Linked DNA regions of Tamandua tetradactyla. The protein of the gene in region 1 purifies or fractionates together with the protein of each later gene. This does not show direct contact. Links are inferred from orthologs where the notes say so. Each region holds a gene or a part of one and is shown in the gene's direction. Other genes may lie near its edges.

Region 1 (6,973 bases):
TCGCAGGAAATAACAACAAACTCTTTAACGAGCCTGTGCAGAGGCGGGGACTCTCTTACATTTCATCTTTGGAGGCTGTTTAATGGCAGGTACTCAAGTGTGATGGTCAGGTTCATGTGTCAACTTGGCCAGGTGGTGGTACCTGTTTGTCTGGTTGGGCCAGTGCTGGCCTGTCTGTTGTGATGAGGACATTTCATAGAATTAAATCATGATCATGTCAGCTGCATCCACAGCTGATTCCATTTATATTCAGCCAAGGGGAGTGTCTTCTGCAATGGTGATGCTCAGTCTAATCACTGGAAGCCTTTTAAGGAGGATTCAGAAGAGACAGGCTCTTTTCCTGCTTCGGCTGGCGAGCCTCTCCTATGGAGTTTGTCCAGACCCTCGATCGGAATCGTCAGCTTCACAGCCTGCCCTGTGGATTTTAGACTCTGCGTTCCCATGGTTACATGAGACACTTTTATAAATTTTATATTTGCAAGTGCTTCCTGTTGATTCTGTTCTCTAGAGAACCCTAACTAATACATAAAGCTGAACATACATAGGCTGTATGTACACCCAGTCTTCCAGCAATGTGACAATTCCCTGACAGGAGCGTGTGCATGATGTGCTGAGACATGGCAGCATTATTCATAATAGTCTCTAAATTGAAACTTTTAATGTCCAATAGTAGAACAGAGAAATTGTGAATTTCCATGATGGAATATTATACAACAGTGAAAAATGAACAAATTGCAGCTATATATGTAGAACAACATGAGTGAATCTCAGAAGCGTCATGTTGCGCAGAAGAAACTAGATACAAAGCCAGCCAAACCTTATGATTCTATTTGTAGAAAGTTCTCAGACAAGCAAAACTCCAGTGTGAGAAGCCAAGGTGGTGGTTGCCTCTGGGGAGGGACCCACGGTGGCAAGAGGGGATAGTGAAGGAGGCCCCAGGGGGCGGGCCACGTCCTCATTCCTGACTTGGGGGCAGTTACATGAATGTTTGCCCCACGATAGTTGGCTGAGTTGACTCTACGTTTTGTGCACTTCTCTGCACACGTACTGTAACTCCAGGTAAAACAAGTCAGGGGGGAAAAGAGAAGAACACCGAGACCCGTTTCAGGGACCATTGAAAGACGTGCAACTTCCAAAGCAGCCAAGGAGGCAGAGGAGTTAGAGCAGCAGGTGGTGTCACCGAGGTCAGGGAAGGTGGTGGGGGTGGCCAGCAGGGTGGCTGCAGTGGGAGGTCAGCTAAGGGAGGGGGCAAGGACCAGGCAGGCCATCGGATGTTCACTTGGAATTGTCTGCATTGCTCTACCATGAGGTCAACCCCACGAGAGCTGGAGATTTTATCTGTTCTTTTCCCTGCTCTAAGCCTCCTGCCTGCACATAGTGGGCACTCAACAAACATTTGTCATGAATGAATAAATGGGAGCAGCTGGTGAGGAGGGAGGGGGCTGTAGGGGCAGGGTGAGGAGCGGTGGGGCAGGGGAAGGGGTGTGCAGACACAGATGGGGCAGCTGGTGCAAGTGGTGGTATCGGGGTGGTGGTGGCAGCATCCTGGAGAGGTGGAAGGAGCCCCAGAGGCCTGGGCCCTGATGGATGAGGGCAAGGGGCCCCGGGAGACGGAGGACGAGCCCCCGAGGGCGGCAGACGAGACCACCTTGCAGGGGGGCAGGGGCTGATGTGGGGTCTGGTGGACCCTGGGAGGTTAGAAACTCCCAACTTGGGGTGCCCAGAGTGGCTGAGATGCTGACGACCAGGGCAGGGCTGTTATATTGTGGTCTGGGGCTTTCAGCAGACCTGACAGACCAGAAGGATGGCATGGGGGTGGGGGTCTCCCCAAAATCAGTGAGGAAGGGATGGGAGCTGCACGAGGGGGAAGCACAGAAGCCCTGGGAGGCGCATCCAGTGGCTGCGTCCATTTCACAGATAAGGCTGGCCATGCCTTGGCCCCCTCCATCTGTCTTCCAGTGTCCATGGCTTTGGGTGTTTTGTTGTGCTAGGGGTGTAGGCGGAGAGTGGGGTGTTGGTTTAGGGAGCGAGGTGTCGGGTATTTGAGGAGCCCAGGCCTTACGGAGAGAGGAGAACAGATCTTATGCCCTCTGGGCACTCCCAGGCTGGTGGGAGAAAGAAGCCAGTGTGAAAGTCACCTTTGTGTCAGGTAGGAGGTGACCTGAGGGCTGGCTGCGTCAGTGCCAGGCCAGGTGCTGTCCCAGGCAGAAGCCTTACCCGGTCCTTGCATGGACTTTGCACACCTGTGCTGGGACAGGTTGGAGGACTTGCCCAGGTCACTCAGCCAGGAGGTGCTCCCTCCAGGACCTCACCCCTGGTCTAGTCCATTTACTCCCTATGTGGAGGGGGGGAGGGGGGTCTCCACCACCCACAGGTCCATTCTGAGCATTTGTTTTGGATGAAAGCCCAGCTCTAGCTGAGGCACTGCCCTCCGCCACAGCTGGCACCCACCCTGGCCAGTCTTTCCCGTAACCCCCATCCTCTAACCAGCCCTTTCTGAACTTCCTGCCCTCACTGCGGCTGATTTGGGGAGCTGCTTGGAGTCCCCACAAAACCAGATGAAAGGAGCGGAGGGCTTAACCAGTGGGGAAATTGGGTGGGAGCGACTGCACCTCCTGCCGGCTTGAACCCCCACCCCCACCCCCATCTCGGGGAAGCACCAGACACCCTGGCTACCCACTGCATTTCTTCCCTCGCCTCCCAGTCCCTTTCCAAAGACAGACTACTGGGTCCCAAGGGTTGATTTAGAAGCCCCCTGGCCCTGCGATCAGAGCAGAGCACTCAGGGTCACAGGGCCGGGACTTTGCTCCCGGGAACTGGGGGTTCCGCCAGAGAGGGAATAAATACTTGAAGGCCTACTATGTGCTAGGCACCGTGTAAGATGTTGGGGGACACATGATTAAAGGGAGGCAGGCCGGCAGCTCCTGCACGGCGCTACGGCGTGGGGGCGGGGACAGCATTTTGCATGCTTTTGGCATGCACGCGGCACTGTGCCTGCCACTTCTGCTCACCAGGAAGGAAAGGGGTGCGTTAGGTGCAGAAGCGTGATCACGGAGCCAGCATCTCACCCAGCTTGTCCCGGACTGTGCTGACACCCTCCAGCCCCCCTGCCCCCACGCCCCAGCTTCTTCACGGGGCCCATTTTGCGCTCCTGGAGCGGGGGAGGGGGCTAGAAGGGACCTGACCCACGCCCCCTCTTCTACCTGCCGGCCACTTGGGCTGTGGGCCGGCCTCGGGACCGCTGCCCTCCCACCCCCTCCGCAGTGACCCATTCTCCAGGTACGCCGCCCCAGCTCTTCAGCGGCCCCCCACAACCCAATCCACCCAAACGTCGGCCGCCTCTTCTATTCCCGGAGCACCGGGGCACCAAGACGCACCCTCAAAGCTGAGCTGACCCGCTCCCCGTCCCTCAAACCGACCGCTTCCTTCCAACCTCCCCTGCGGCGCACTCGGGCTCCCGAGGTGCCCACCCGCGCGGGGCCGGAGCCCCGAGCCGCCGCCTGGGCCTGGCGCAGGTTCCACCTGCGGGGTCGCTCGTGGGCCGGCGGCGCGGGGCGCGGGGGCGGAGGAGCGGGCGGCGCGAGGGAGGGGCCTGCGACAGCGGCGGCGGCCGCCCCAGCCCGCGCAGCCCGGCTCGGCCCCGGCTCGCTCGGCGCAGCGCCGCGCGCGTCCCCTCGCCGCCGCCGCCGCCGCCGCCGCCTGGCGCCCCGCAGCCCGGCCTCCGGGCGCACGACGCAGCGCGCACGGGCCGGCCGGGATGCGCGCCCGGCCCCCGGCCCGCCCGACCCCGCGGCCGCCGCCCGCCCGCCGCGCGCTCGCCTGACCGCGGCGCCCCCGCCCCCCGCCCGGCCGCCCCCCACGCCCGCGATGCCCGCCCCCCGGGGCCCCGGCGGCCCGCGCCCCTGCTAGGCTGCGGCGGCATGGCCCGCGCGCCCGGCGCGACCTCTGCGGATTGCATCGGTGTGCGGCGGCGGGGCATGCCCAGGGCACCGGGCACGGCCTTCAATGGGCGAGGACACGGACACGCGGAAAATTAACCACAGCTTCCTGCGGGACCACAGCTATGTGACTGAAGGTAACGTACGTGTTGTCTGAGACCCCCTCCGGCCGGCCGCGGCGTGGGGATGCCGTCGCACCGAATGCCCTCCGAAGGTTTGGACCGCGCGATGTGTGTCGTGTCACCCCACCCCACCCCACCCCACCCCACCCCGCCCCACGCGCCCCGGGCCCAGGAGGGAGGGAGCCGGGGGTCAGCAGCCAGGGCCCAGGCGGGGTCGCCTTCCCTGCCAGGCGGAGAGGCGATGCCCTCCTCCGCGCCGCCCTCCGGGAGTCACCGCGGGAGGCAGCTTTTCGCTCCGTGGCCAGGTGGCATCCTGAACCGCCCCGGCCATCGTTTCTGAAAAGGCCATCCCTTCGGCTAATCTGGTGAAGGAATCCGGGGGGGGGGGGGGGGAAATGTAATGGGTTAAAACCCTGAATTTGACATTTCAGCCCTGCCCAAAACCCGCAGAATTTTCTAGGCTGCCCACTCCCTGGAGACGAAGAGGGACCCAGAAGAAAAAATCCAATTGCCGGGTCCTTGGCTGTCCCTCCTCCTCCCCTCCCTGGGCCTCTGGAGGCAGGGGTCCCTTAGCGGGAGGGGGAAGGAGGCCGCTGGAGTTTGGTCTTTTATTCTTGGTGATTTATATACTGAGGCAGGAGGAGCTGGCCGGAAACGGTCAGGATTTCCCTGAAAAGTGGGACATGCCTCCCCAAACGGGCCCTGCATTTGAAATCTCCCAAGTCGGCCATAAGAATCCAGAGGGTCACCGTCCCTTTTTTGTAGGTCAGTAACTTCCAAGGGGCCTTGCCTAGGGGACAGCGGCGACACCTCCGGTGCACGGCCAGAGGGCTGCGGAGTGAGCCCCGGGTGGGGGGTGGGGAGGCTGCGGGCGCCGGGTTCATTATTCCCGAGGCCTTCCGTGTCCACGGGCGGTGGGCATCTTCCCAGGAGCTGCAGAAGTGTTGGTGGGCTTTGGGCAAGGGGTGCCCCTGGTGGGTGCCCATGTGGGAAGGGCTCTGGGGAGGGGCTCACTGAGGGGCCCTGAGCACTGCAGCCCACAGCGTTGGTGTGCGTGGGTGCTTGTCTCAGGGAGCTCGCGGGGCTCAGCGGCAGTTTGCGTCTGCCAGCCCGATGCCTGGATGCCTGGATCTGCCGGAAATGAGGCCGAGTCCCGGGGCTGGAGCCCTGTGGGGCCGGGAGAGCGCGGGGCCCCGGCAGGTGGGCTCCCCCCTGTTCCTGATCTGGTGGCAGGGGAGCATTGGATGGGGGTGGAGTGTGCCCCCAGTTCCCTGAGGAGAACCGCTGAGTCATGCTTTGCTGATGGGCGTGTGCGTGTGTGTGTGTGTGTGTGTGTGTGTGTGTGTGTGTGTGTGGTGGGGGAGGGGGCAGGGCTGCAGGGCTGGGTGAGAGAGCTGCTCCCAACCGGGGGCCCTCACAGCTGCCCAGGAGGCTGAACGCCACCCTATGTCTGCTGCCTGGGTGAGGCTGAGCAAGGATGGGCCTGTGTCAGGGTTGTTCTTTCTCTGCTCCTAGCCTGGTGGGCAGCAGAGGGTTAAAGAGGCCTCTGGGTCGCTGGCAGGGGGCCCAGCGGCCTGGCTTTGGTGGAGAGGGGAACTTGCCAGGTCCGCTCAGCTGTTCCCCAGCATGGCCTGGCCCCGCCTCCCCGGGGACACCTCCGTTTTATCATCTGTGCATTGGGGGTGACAGCACAGGGCCAGGTGTATGATTAAAAGTAAAAAGCAGCATGCCTGACCCTTAGTAGACATTACAAAGGTTGATTTTTTCCCTTACTCCATTCCCCATTTTATTTCAGAATTTCACGAGTGCTCGGCAGAAGAGAGCAAGGACAAGTGTGTAGCTATAGGAGAAAGAAGAAATGGCTTTTAATCCCTTTTCAGTGGTGGCAAGCCACTGTTCTAGCCCTGAGAGCAGGCAGTCTATATTCTAGCAGGGAGCCCTGGGCCCTTGCGGGTGTCTCTTCTCACTGGTACTCAGTTTCTTGCCTGTGAAATGGGAGCGAATGATAGCTTCCCAGGTGAGAGGGTGCGTGAGGGAGCCGCCTCGGAACTGCAGATTGCTGATGAGTGGCTAACTCCTGCTGGGGCCTCACCCAAGCATTCCTGTACCCTTGTCCCCACATTTTTAGATGGAAAACCTCAGTGTCTCAGTGTGCCAGGGCTGCTCCTTTAAATCCCACACTCTCGAGTAGCTTCAATGGCAGAAACTGACTGGCTCTGTTTTGGAGGCTAGAAGTCCAAAATCGAGGTCTTGCCAGGCCATACTTCCTCCTGGCGTCTGTAGCTTTCTCATGCTGGCTCGCCACCATTCTTGGGGTTCCTTGGCTTGTGTATGCATTTCTGCTTCCATCCTGCGGTGACCTCTCTCCATCTTTGGCTTCTGTTTCCATATCCAGTTTCCCCTGCTTACAAGGACGTCTGCCACATTGGAGGAAGGCCCACCCCTGTTCAGTCTGGGCTCACCTTAGCATCTTCACCAGTCCTACCCACAAATGGGTTCACACTCCAGGAACAGGGGTTGGGACTTGAACATGCCTTTGTGGGGGACGCAGTTGCACCCAGACTGAGCACCAGTGTGCATAAGGTATAGAGTCAAGGGGACAGGGGCAGAACTCCTGCCTTCAGGGAGGGCAGGGTCTAGTAGAGGAAGCAATTAATAATACTTATTAGAATTTTAGGAAAACTCTGGCTTCCTTAAGTGAAAACAGACTTTAACACTCTTGCATCCCTGACTGCATTTTATGCCCAGAGCACAGAGTAGATTACAGAGCTGGACTTCAGACAGAACTTGAGTTGATATCCTGCTTCTGACTCTTCACCTGCTATGCAACCTTGGAAAAGTTTCTTCCTTTTGCAAAGGGAAAAGTAATAGTGATCTCTCTTAATGGGTTGTTGGGATGACCAGGGACTATGC
Region 2 (8,052 bases), on another chromosome or scaffold:
TCCCCTTTACATTTAGGCTTTCTCCCAAATATCATGGAAAGTCACTGGCCTTTCTGGGGTTAGGAAATAAGCTATCAGTGGTATCTTGATTAATTTATTCATATTAAACAGAATAGGTTGGACATGGTAGAGATTCCTAAATGGGAAAATACATTACCTTAGCAAAAATAGTTAAGTTAGAGCGAAAAACTGATTTGTACCCCATTCAATCATACACATAAAGACTCCAAGTGTCTACTGTGTCAGCTGCTGAAGCTACCACAGTGGACTAAACAAATGTGACCCCTCCTCTCATGTAGCTGACGGTCCTAAAGTGCAGACAGTCACTGAGTGGAGTCACCATGCGTGTTATTATACCCGGAACAATGCAATGAGAGCACCTAACTTAGTCCACGGAGCTGCAAAATACAACCTGAGGAAGTGGTATCTCAGAGAGATGAAGTTAAAGCAATGACTTCTTCATGAAAAACAGGCCTGGGGGCAGAAGCACGACAAGTAGGCTGTATGGATGAAGACGTCTTATTCTTGCGCTTTATTCAAGGTGTGACAGAAGGAATGGGCTGGTAAGGAGGAAGGGCTCATCCATGGGGGCCAGGCTGAGATGCTTTCAGGCCGGAAAGTCATCGAGCTTTAGAAAACTAAAGTCTGTCATGTTCCCTGTCAGCTATTCTTGGTGAGGGAACATATATATATTTTTTCCTTTTTACTGGGTTTGGGGATTTTCCAAGGCCTACGGTAGGTCACCCACCTTCTCCTTCCACGTGCTCCAGAGGCATCAGTCATTTGATGGTTCATGTAGAGTGGTATAGAGATAGAAGCTGAAATTCATCTCTCAATTCACCACTTGAAAATTTGTTAATTTCCATGCAAGTGCACCGTTAAATTATTTGAGCCCACCCTGTGTGTATAAGGACGTGCTATCTACTGGATTATAAGGTTTGAAGAATCTTTTACTCACAGCCTATACTAAAGGAATGGTATTTCTCATTAGACAATGTACAACAGAAGATTAGGTTGGGGAGCCGCAAAGAAGTCAGGATGGAGAAAACAATGAAAAGTCCTTTACATACCTTATCTTATGTATTTCCCACAACAGCCCTGTGAGATCACTAATCCCCATTTTATTTCAGGAAACAGGAAATCTGCTCATGATTCCACAATGATTACATGGCAGCGCTGGAATTAACGTTGGGCCTGCAGATGCCAATTATGCTCTTTACCACTGCACTATATACTCTGTGAAAAGAACTAATTAAATCTATGTTCAAGGAGGGCAGAGTGGGTGTCTCTGTTACAGGAAGCTAACCTCCTACAGTTAAGTGGGTAGGCTCTGGAGTCAGACGGCCTAAGACATTCTCCTGGCCACCACTGGGATTGTCCCACTCAAACTTATTATCTATTCACTCTAGTCAACACCTTGTCTTAATGGAGCCCTGTTCATAACATCTTATTATAAGGGGAGATAGAAATTTACCTAATAATTATTGAACATCTACCATATAAGAGATCCAGTTCTAGGCATTGGGAATACAGCAATGTTCCCATTTAGTGGGGAATGCAGAACAAACACACCTGCTTTCCAATTAACCAAGTAAAAGGGAAAAGCATATATACAACTAGAATCATTTTCCCATAGGCTGAGGAATTGGGGAGGTCTGGCGTTTAAGGGAGGGGAAACAAGGTCTCTGACACACACCTCTTCTGCTAGTAGGACGACTAGTGTGCTGCTCCATCTGGACACCAACAGGTGTGGCACCTGGGAAAGAATCACAGCATCACATAATCAACAACTCTTGACTGTATAGACTGTATGTGCATGGAGATTTCTCAATAAAAATATACATATTTTAAATACATGCTATTATTTTTACTATTGACAACTTCATAAGCTGTCTTGAGCAAGTTTCAAGCTGTTTTAATTTGGAGAGGAAAGGGTGTGCTCTATTTCATGGCCAAATATAAGTTATTTATCAGCAATCTACCGTTCTATTACTACTGTTTCTATTATTATTGCTTCCTTTCTTCTGGACAAAATAGTAATTTAACCAACTTATTTAAACTTACAAATTTAAGTTTCCTAAGAATGGGTCACAACTAGCTTAAATGAATACCATAAGTGCATGGAACCTTGAGTAGGGCATGAGATTTTGTAGGCTTGTCCAGAGTGATGCCCCGATAAATCCCAGAGTGATTTGAACAGTGAATAAAAAAGTATTTGCAAAGTTCCCTTGGGGGGATGGTGAGAAGGGGGGGAAATTCAACTTTCCCAAGTGGAGAATTCCTGATGTTCTCACAAGCAGTGGGAACAACCAAAGCAATAGGCTGAGTCCCCAGTCTTGGGGTTTGTTCATGTGAAACTTAAACCCCCAAAGGATAGGCTAAGCCTACTTAAAATTAGGCCTGGACAGGCCATGGTGGCTTAGCAGGTAGAGTTCTTGCCTGCCATGCCAGAGACCTGGGTTCGATTCCCGGTGCCTGCCCATGTTAAAAAAAAAACAAAAAAAATAGGCCTAAGACTCACCCCCAAGGAGACATCTATTGTTGCTCAGATGTGGCTCTCTCTCTCAGCCAACATGACATGGAAACTCACTGACCTCCCCCTCTCTACATAGGTCATGACTCCCAGCGGTGTGGACTTTCCTGGCAACGTAGGACAGAAATCCCAGAATGAGCTGAGACTCAGCACCAAGGGATTGAGAAAACCTTCTCCATGGAAAGGGGGAAGACAGAAATGAGACAAAATGGAGTGTTAGTGGCTGAGAGATTCCAAACAGAGTGGAGAGGTTATCCTGGAGGTTATTCTTACACATTAAATAGATATCACCTTCTTAGTTAAGGTGTAATGGAGAGGCTGGAGGGAAGTGCCTGAAACTGTAGAGCTGTGTTCAGTAGCCATGTTTCTTGAAGATGATTGTATAATGATAGAGCTTTTGCTATGTGACTGTCTGATGGTGTAAGTCTTGTGTCTGATGCTTCTTTTATCTACCTTATACACATATAAGGTAGATAAAACATACCTTATAAATAAACAGATAATATGGATTAAAAATAAACAGATAATAGGGGGAAGAAATGTTAAAATAAAAATTTAGTAGATTGAAATGCTAGTGATCAATGAAAGGGAGGGGTAAGGGGTATGGTATGTATGAATTTTTTTGTTTTCATTTCTTTTTCTGAATTGACACAAATGTTTGAAGAAATGATCACGATGATGCATATATAACTATGTGATGATATTGTGAATTACTGATCATATATGTAAAATGGAATGATCATATGGTAAGAATGTTTATGTTTGTATGTTTAATAAACAAAATAAATTTAAAAATCAACAAGAACGGGTTACAAAATCCCGACAGAAAGCAGCCCCAATTTCTCTCTGGTTTAACAGGGTATTCTCTTCATGTTTAATTTCTGCAGTATCATCCCTTTTCCTGTCCTGCACAGCAATTTTAAATATCTGGCTCCCCATCAAAATCTCTAAGGGATCAGCAACTGAGTGCATGGTGGGGGTGCAGGGCTGCCATGCGGAAAGAGAACCTCAAAGCACTAGACAGAATTTTTTTTTTCTTTTAAAACTTTTTTTATTGTATAGTATAACATATATACAAAGCAAAGAAATAAAAAAGCAATAGTAGCACTCTTCAAAAAGTGGTTACAGGATAGATCCCAGAGTTCGTCATGAGCCACAACACCATCCTCTCATATTTTCCCTTCTAGCTGCTCCAGAATATAGGGGGCTAGAGAGCTTAAATACGTTTTTATCATCACAACTGACTTTTTTTCCTTCTTTTTTGTGAACAATAACATATATTAAAAAAGCTATAAATTTCCAAGCACAGCACCAAAACGAGTTATAGAACCTATTTCAGACTTTGACATGAATTACAATTTCACAATTTTAGGTTTTTACTTCTAGCCTCTCTAAAATATTAGAGACTAAAAGAGATATCAATTTAATGATTCAGCATTCATATTCATTTGTTAAGTCCTATCGTCTATGTATAATTTCACCACCACCTTTGATCTTTCCATACCTCTCATTGGGGTTGTTTGGGCTATGGCAATTTTAAATTTTTGATATTGGAAGGGTCTTTCATAATATGGATTTGTTATTATTTTTAACACCAGCAACACATTTATACACTACCTCGGGAGCTAAGAATAGTTCATAATTGGAACTGAAGACATTTTCATTATATTGAAAAGCTTTGTGTGATTTCCTCAGGTGAACAGGCCATAGGCTTCACTCCCAAAGAAATTTTAAAAATGCAGAGAGGGAAATAAAGGGTACCAGAAGAAGCGAGAATGGGAGTAGACAATGACAATGACACTCCTGACGGGCACAGGATAGAGAAAACAAAAAGGACATTTCAGGGGGAATAAATTGCAAGTGACAACAAGGATAACAGGAAACAGAAACTAGACAGAATATTTGAGCAAAGGTTTCTGATAAACGAACTAAAAAAAAAAAAACGCAAACCATCTACCGCTACAGGTTTAGTAAACACGGGCCTAAGAAGGGAAAGTTTCGCACATAGTCATGCGAGTCCAAAATCGATGAGCCACAACTCCCAGGGTGCCTGGGGAAAGGCTCGGTGCGCTCAGCCCGCTAAAACTACAACTCCCATCATCTCCCGCACCAAACCGACCAGGTCTTTCCTAAACGGCCAGTTGAAATTCAGACCTTCTATTCCTTCTCGTTGCTAAAGCCGGAACAAAACACTGGAAACTGTCACACTTTCCTTGAACTCCGAAAAGCACTGAGGCTCAAGACACTTTAAAAACCTCACCTGCGGCGTTAATCCAAAGCCTCAACCCCAGCGCCCGCCCCTCAATGTAGCTGATGCGCATGCGCAGTAGGGTGTGGCCAACTGCCTGAGCCTTGGCGCTTGCGCTGAAGTTCGCGCTGCACGCGGTCAGGATCGGCCACCCTATTGCGCAAGCGCCGGTGCCCTACCATTTCCATCTTCGCGCTCTCTCTATCTAGCTTGCCCTGCCGTTCTTGCGTGGGAGGCGGGACTAACGATGTCCATTGGCCTGTTTTCTTGTCGGTTAATGAGCTACGTGCGGTGATTGGCGGCGGCTGGGAGAGTAGCGGGTTTAGGTGTAAGCCCGGAGGAGACACCGTTTTCTGGGCTTTTGCTTGGTTTTCTTTCTCTAGAAGGTTCTGCCGCCTCCCCAGCTGTGGGTACCCGGCTTTGTATCACGTCGCCATGATGGGCCATCGTCCCGTGCTCGTGCTCAGTGAGTTCTGGGGAATCCGGGGAAGGGCCTCTTTTTCGCTTCCATCCCGGTACTCTTCTCAGTGTTGCCTCAGTAGGTCCCGCCCTGGCCCGGCCACCGACTCTCCTAGTCATCGGGCTCGTTTAGGAAGTCCGCTTTCCTCCTTTTTCTTAACCCATTCTCCCCTCTACACAGACGCAAACTGATGCTTTTCTTCGCCGATCCTCCTGCCTTTCCTTGTATTCATATCGGGAGGCTCCTTGCCACTCGGTCCGGTTCCTCGCCCCAGGCCCCTGCGCCCTGTCGTAGTCCTCTTGCGGGGTTTTCAGTGTGGTGTAATAATGAAAGAATAATGTGTTTTGTTTTTTTTTCATTAGGCCTAACTTAATTTCCTTGGCTCACCCCTTGTTAGCGTGTCTTCGGGCAAGTTGTTTGTGTTTCGATCTGTATAATGGGGTTAATAGTATTTCCTCGTAAAATTGTGGAGATTAAATAAGTAGGCAAACTGCTCAGAAAAGGATCTTGCAAATAGTGAATGGTATTCTTGGACACTTACCATTGATTCCTTTTAAATTTTCATTCAGTAATTCCTGTTCCTGAAGTAACCTTTCTTCTCCCACTGGTTTTTCTTCAGGTGTAATCATTTCCTCTGTGACTGCTGCTTTGTAATCTTTCCCTCTAACCAGCTGTTTTCCAAGTTTCTCTTTTAGAGTGGTTCTCTTTACTCTTTGGAAATATCCTTAAGTTCTTTCTGATTTACAGGCTGCACCTCCATTGTCTTCCCCAGGTATATTTCCATTGTGTGTTTAACTTCTATACACCTAAGGTGCCTGTCTGACCATTTCCCTTACGCTGCCATGTTTATACAGAATGCTGTTCAGAGTTTTTATCCATTTTCTTTATACCTAGGGAATACCTTTTAAGAAGATTTTTTTTACAAAAAATTTTACTTTGTCCTGAAAAAGTTATTTTCTTTCTGAAGGTTTGTAGGTCCATGCAGGTTTTTAGTTACCACTGCCTGAGATAGGAATGTAAACCTTGAGGGTTTGCAGGTGTTTAAATTTGATGAGACTGGATTGAAAGATTTATAGAGTTAAATTAACTTGTAGGGGAATATGTAACTTGGTGAGGCATTGCCTTGGTTTATGTCCATTGAGGGGGTCCTGGGGTGAATAGTGATATGTGAAGTCTTTTTCAGGTCTGCAAATAATCCCTACTTGAATTATGTGAATGTTTGGATAGCGGGAAGGTGATAACCAAGATTCCACAGTTGAAGTGTTATGGGGTTATTTCTTAGTATATCAGAAATCAAAGTAAATAAAGAGGTAAATAGCCATAAGTATGAATTTTTAACTGCTTCTTGAGATACAATTGATTAGTAAGTTTTGACCTTTATGTATACCTGTATCTTTATTTTTACTTTCAGAGGTTGGGGGATAAATGGCTTATGTACAGTGGAGCCATTATGGGCTGTTGCCTTTTTGTTTTTTATCTCTCAGGCCAGAACACAAAGCGTGAATCTGGAAGAAAAGTTCAGTCTGGGAACATCAGTGCTGCCAAGGTAGCATATCTTTTAAGTGTTTAGAGTGTAGTAGTTTGCCTTTTAGTATTTCTTTATTTCTTCATAGTGATAAATCCCATGTGCAGTTAGAGGAAAAATTGTTTTCAGGACATTGCCCTGATGAGATGGAGAGGGAAGGGGGCCCTCCCCTCTGAATTAGGCCTAATAGTTTTTTTACATAAAAACTATTTCTGTTACTGTAGTTGTTTTTAAATATTCTATTCGTATTTGTCTCCCATACTGTACTGAGTTATTTGAGGGGAAGGAATTACTATTAATTACTTTCTATATCCTAGGGCCCACTGTAGGTCCTGTGTGGGCAGTCAGTAATTATATTTTGAATGAAGGAATGAAGTATCTCTAGACCAGATTTAAGGTGGTATGGAAATCACTGTCATGGAAAGAAAGACTGATACTTCTAGGAGGCCTTTCCCCTTTTTTCTGGTGAGGTTGTTTCTTTCTACATCCACTCTGAAAACATTCCCTGAGGGGATGAGAGCTAGGCACAGGGCATGCTCTGTAGTGGTTACCAACCTTACTCTAAAGTAAAGGTGTCATTGTTAAAATTAAAACAGTGGCTATGCATATTACCCATGCCCCCTTCTACCACTCTCACAGGCCTCAGACTTGTGCTTTTTTTTTTTTTCAATGTTTTCTGTCCATTAGACTATTGCAGATATCATCAGAACATGTTTGGGACCCAAGTCCATGATGAAGGTAGGCTTGTCTCTTATTGAAGTTCTCAGACTACGAATTTTATTTTCCCTTTCTGTTTTCTGGGACTCTCAAATATAACTTTTGCTTCTTAGATGCTTTTGGACCCAATGGGAGGCATTGTGATGACCAATGATGGCAATGCCATTCTTCGTGAGGTGTGACTTTTCATTTTCTTTTCAAACAGTTTTATAAATAATAATATCTATAAAGAAGTATGTATGTAGGTGGTCTGTCAAGTAAATAAGCTAAAAGCTACTCTTCTGGGAACGAATAACTGAGTTGGCATAATGCATTTTTTCCCAAAAAGTAAGAGTATTGGGAAAGTGGAATTACTCTTTTTAGTCTTTCAAGGTGTGGTAAGGAAATAAAGGGAAAGAGAGTAAGTGTAGAGCAAGAAGCTCAAAAGTTAGGGCAAAGCAGAATGGGTTTAGAAGTCTTTGAGTGGTATTAAGTCTTTTTTTTTTTTTTTTCCTTCTCCCCCAGATTCAAGTGCAGCATCCAGCAGCCAAATCTATGATTGAAATTAGCCGGACCCAAGATGAAGAGGT

The links. Proteins that work in one complex are often made in the same cells at the same time.
Region 2: the proteins of PPP2R2C (region 1) and CCT3 purify together in Homo sapiens (affinity purification with mass spectrometry; 4 studies listed by BioGRID and IntAct, counting the BioPlex papers as one, with this or other methods). This does not show direct contact. The link is inferred for Tamandua tetradactyla from reciprocal best matches to the Homo sapiens genes PPP2R2C and CCT3.

What each region holds. Positions count from the first base shown.
Region 1 is NC_135345.1:6,446,868-6,453,840, forward strand, and holds the start of PPP2R2C (protein phosphatase 2, regulatory subunit B, gamma), read left to right. Parts: upstream 1-3,960; 5' UTR 3,961-4,005; coding exon 4,006-4,075; exon of another isoform or gene 4,076-4,124; coding exon of another isoform or gene 4,125-4,152; intron 4,153-6,973. UniProt on the Homo sapiens protein: The B regulatory subunit might modulate substrate selectivity and catalytic activity, and might also direct the localization of the catalytic enzyme to a particular subcellular compartment.
Region 2 is NC_135330.1:9,339,603-9,347,654, reverse strand, and holds the start of CCT3 (T-complex protein 1 subunit gamma), read left to right. Parts: upstream 1-5,012; 5' UTR 5,013-5,216; coding exon 5,217-5,247; intron 5,248-6,725; coding exon 6,726-6,787; intron 6,788-7,453; coding exon 7,454-7,504; intron 7,505-7,596; coding exon 7,597-7,659; intron 7,660-7,987; coding exon 7,988-8,052. Other genes in the region: TSACC (TSSK6-activating co-chaperone protein), read right to left, coding at 1,697-1,756, 4,794-4,854. UniProt on the Homo sapiens protein: Component of the chaperonin-containing T-complex (TRiC), a molecular chaperone complex that assists the folding of actin, tubulin and other proteins upon ATP hydrolysis.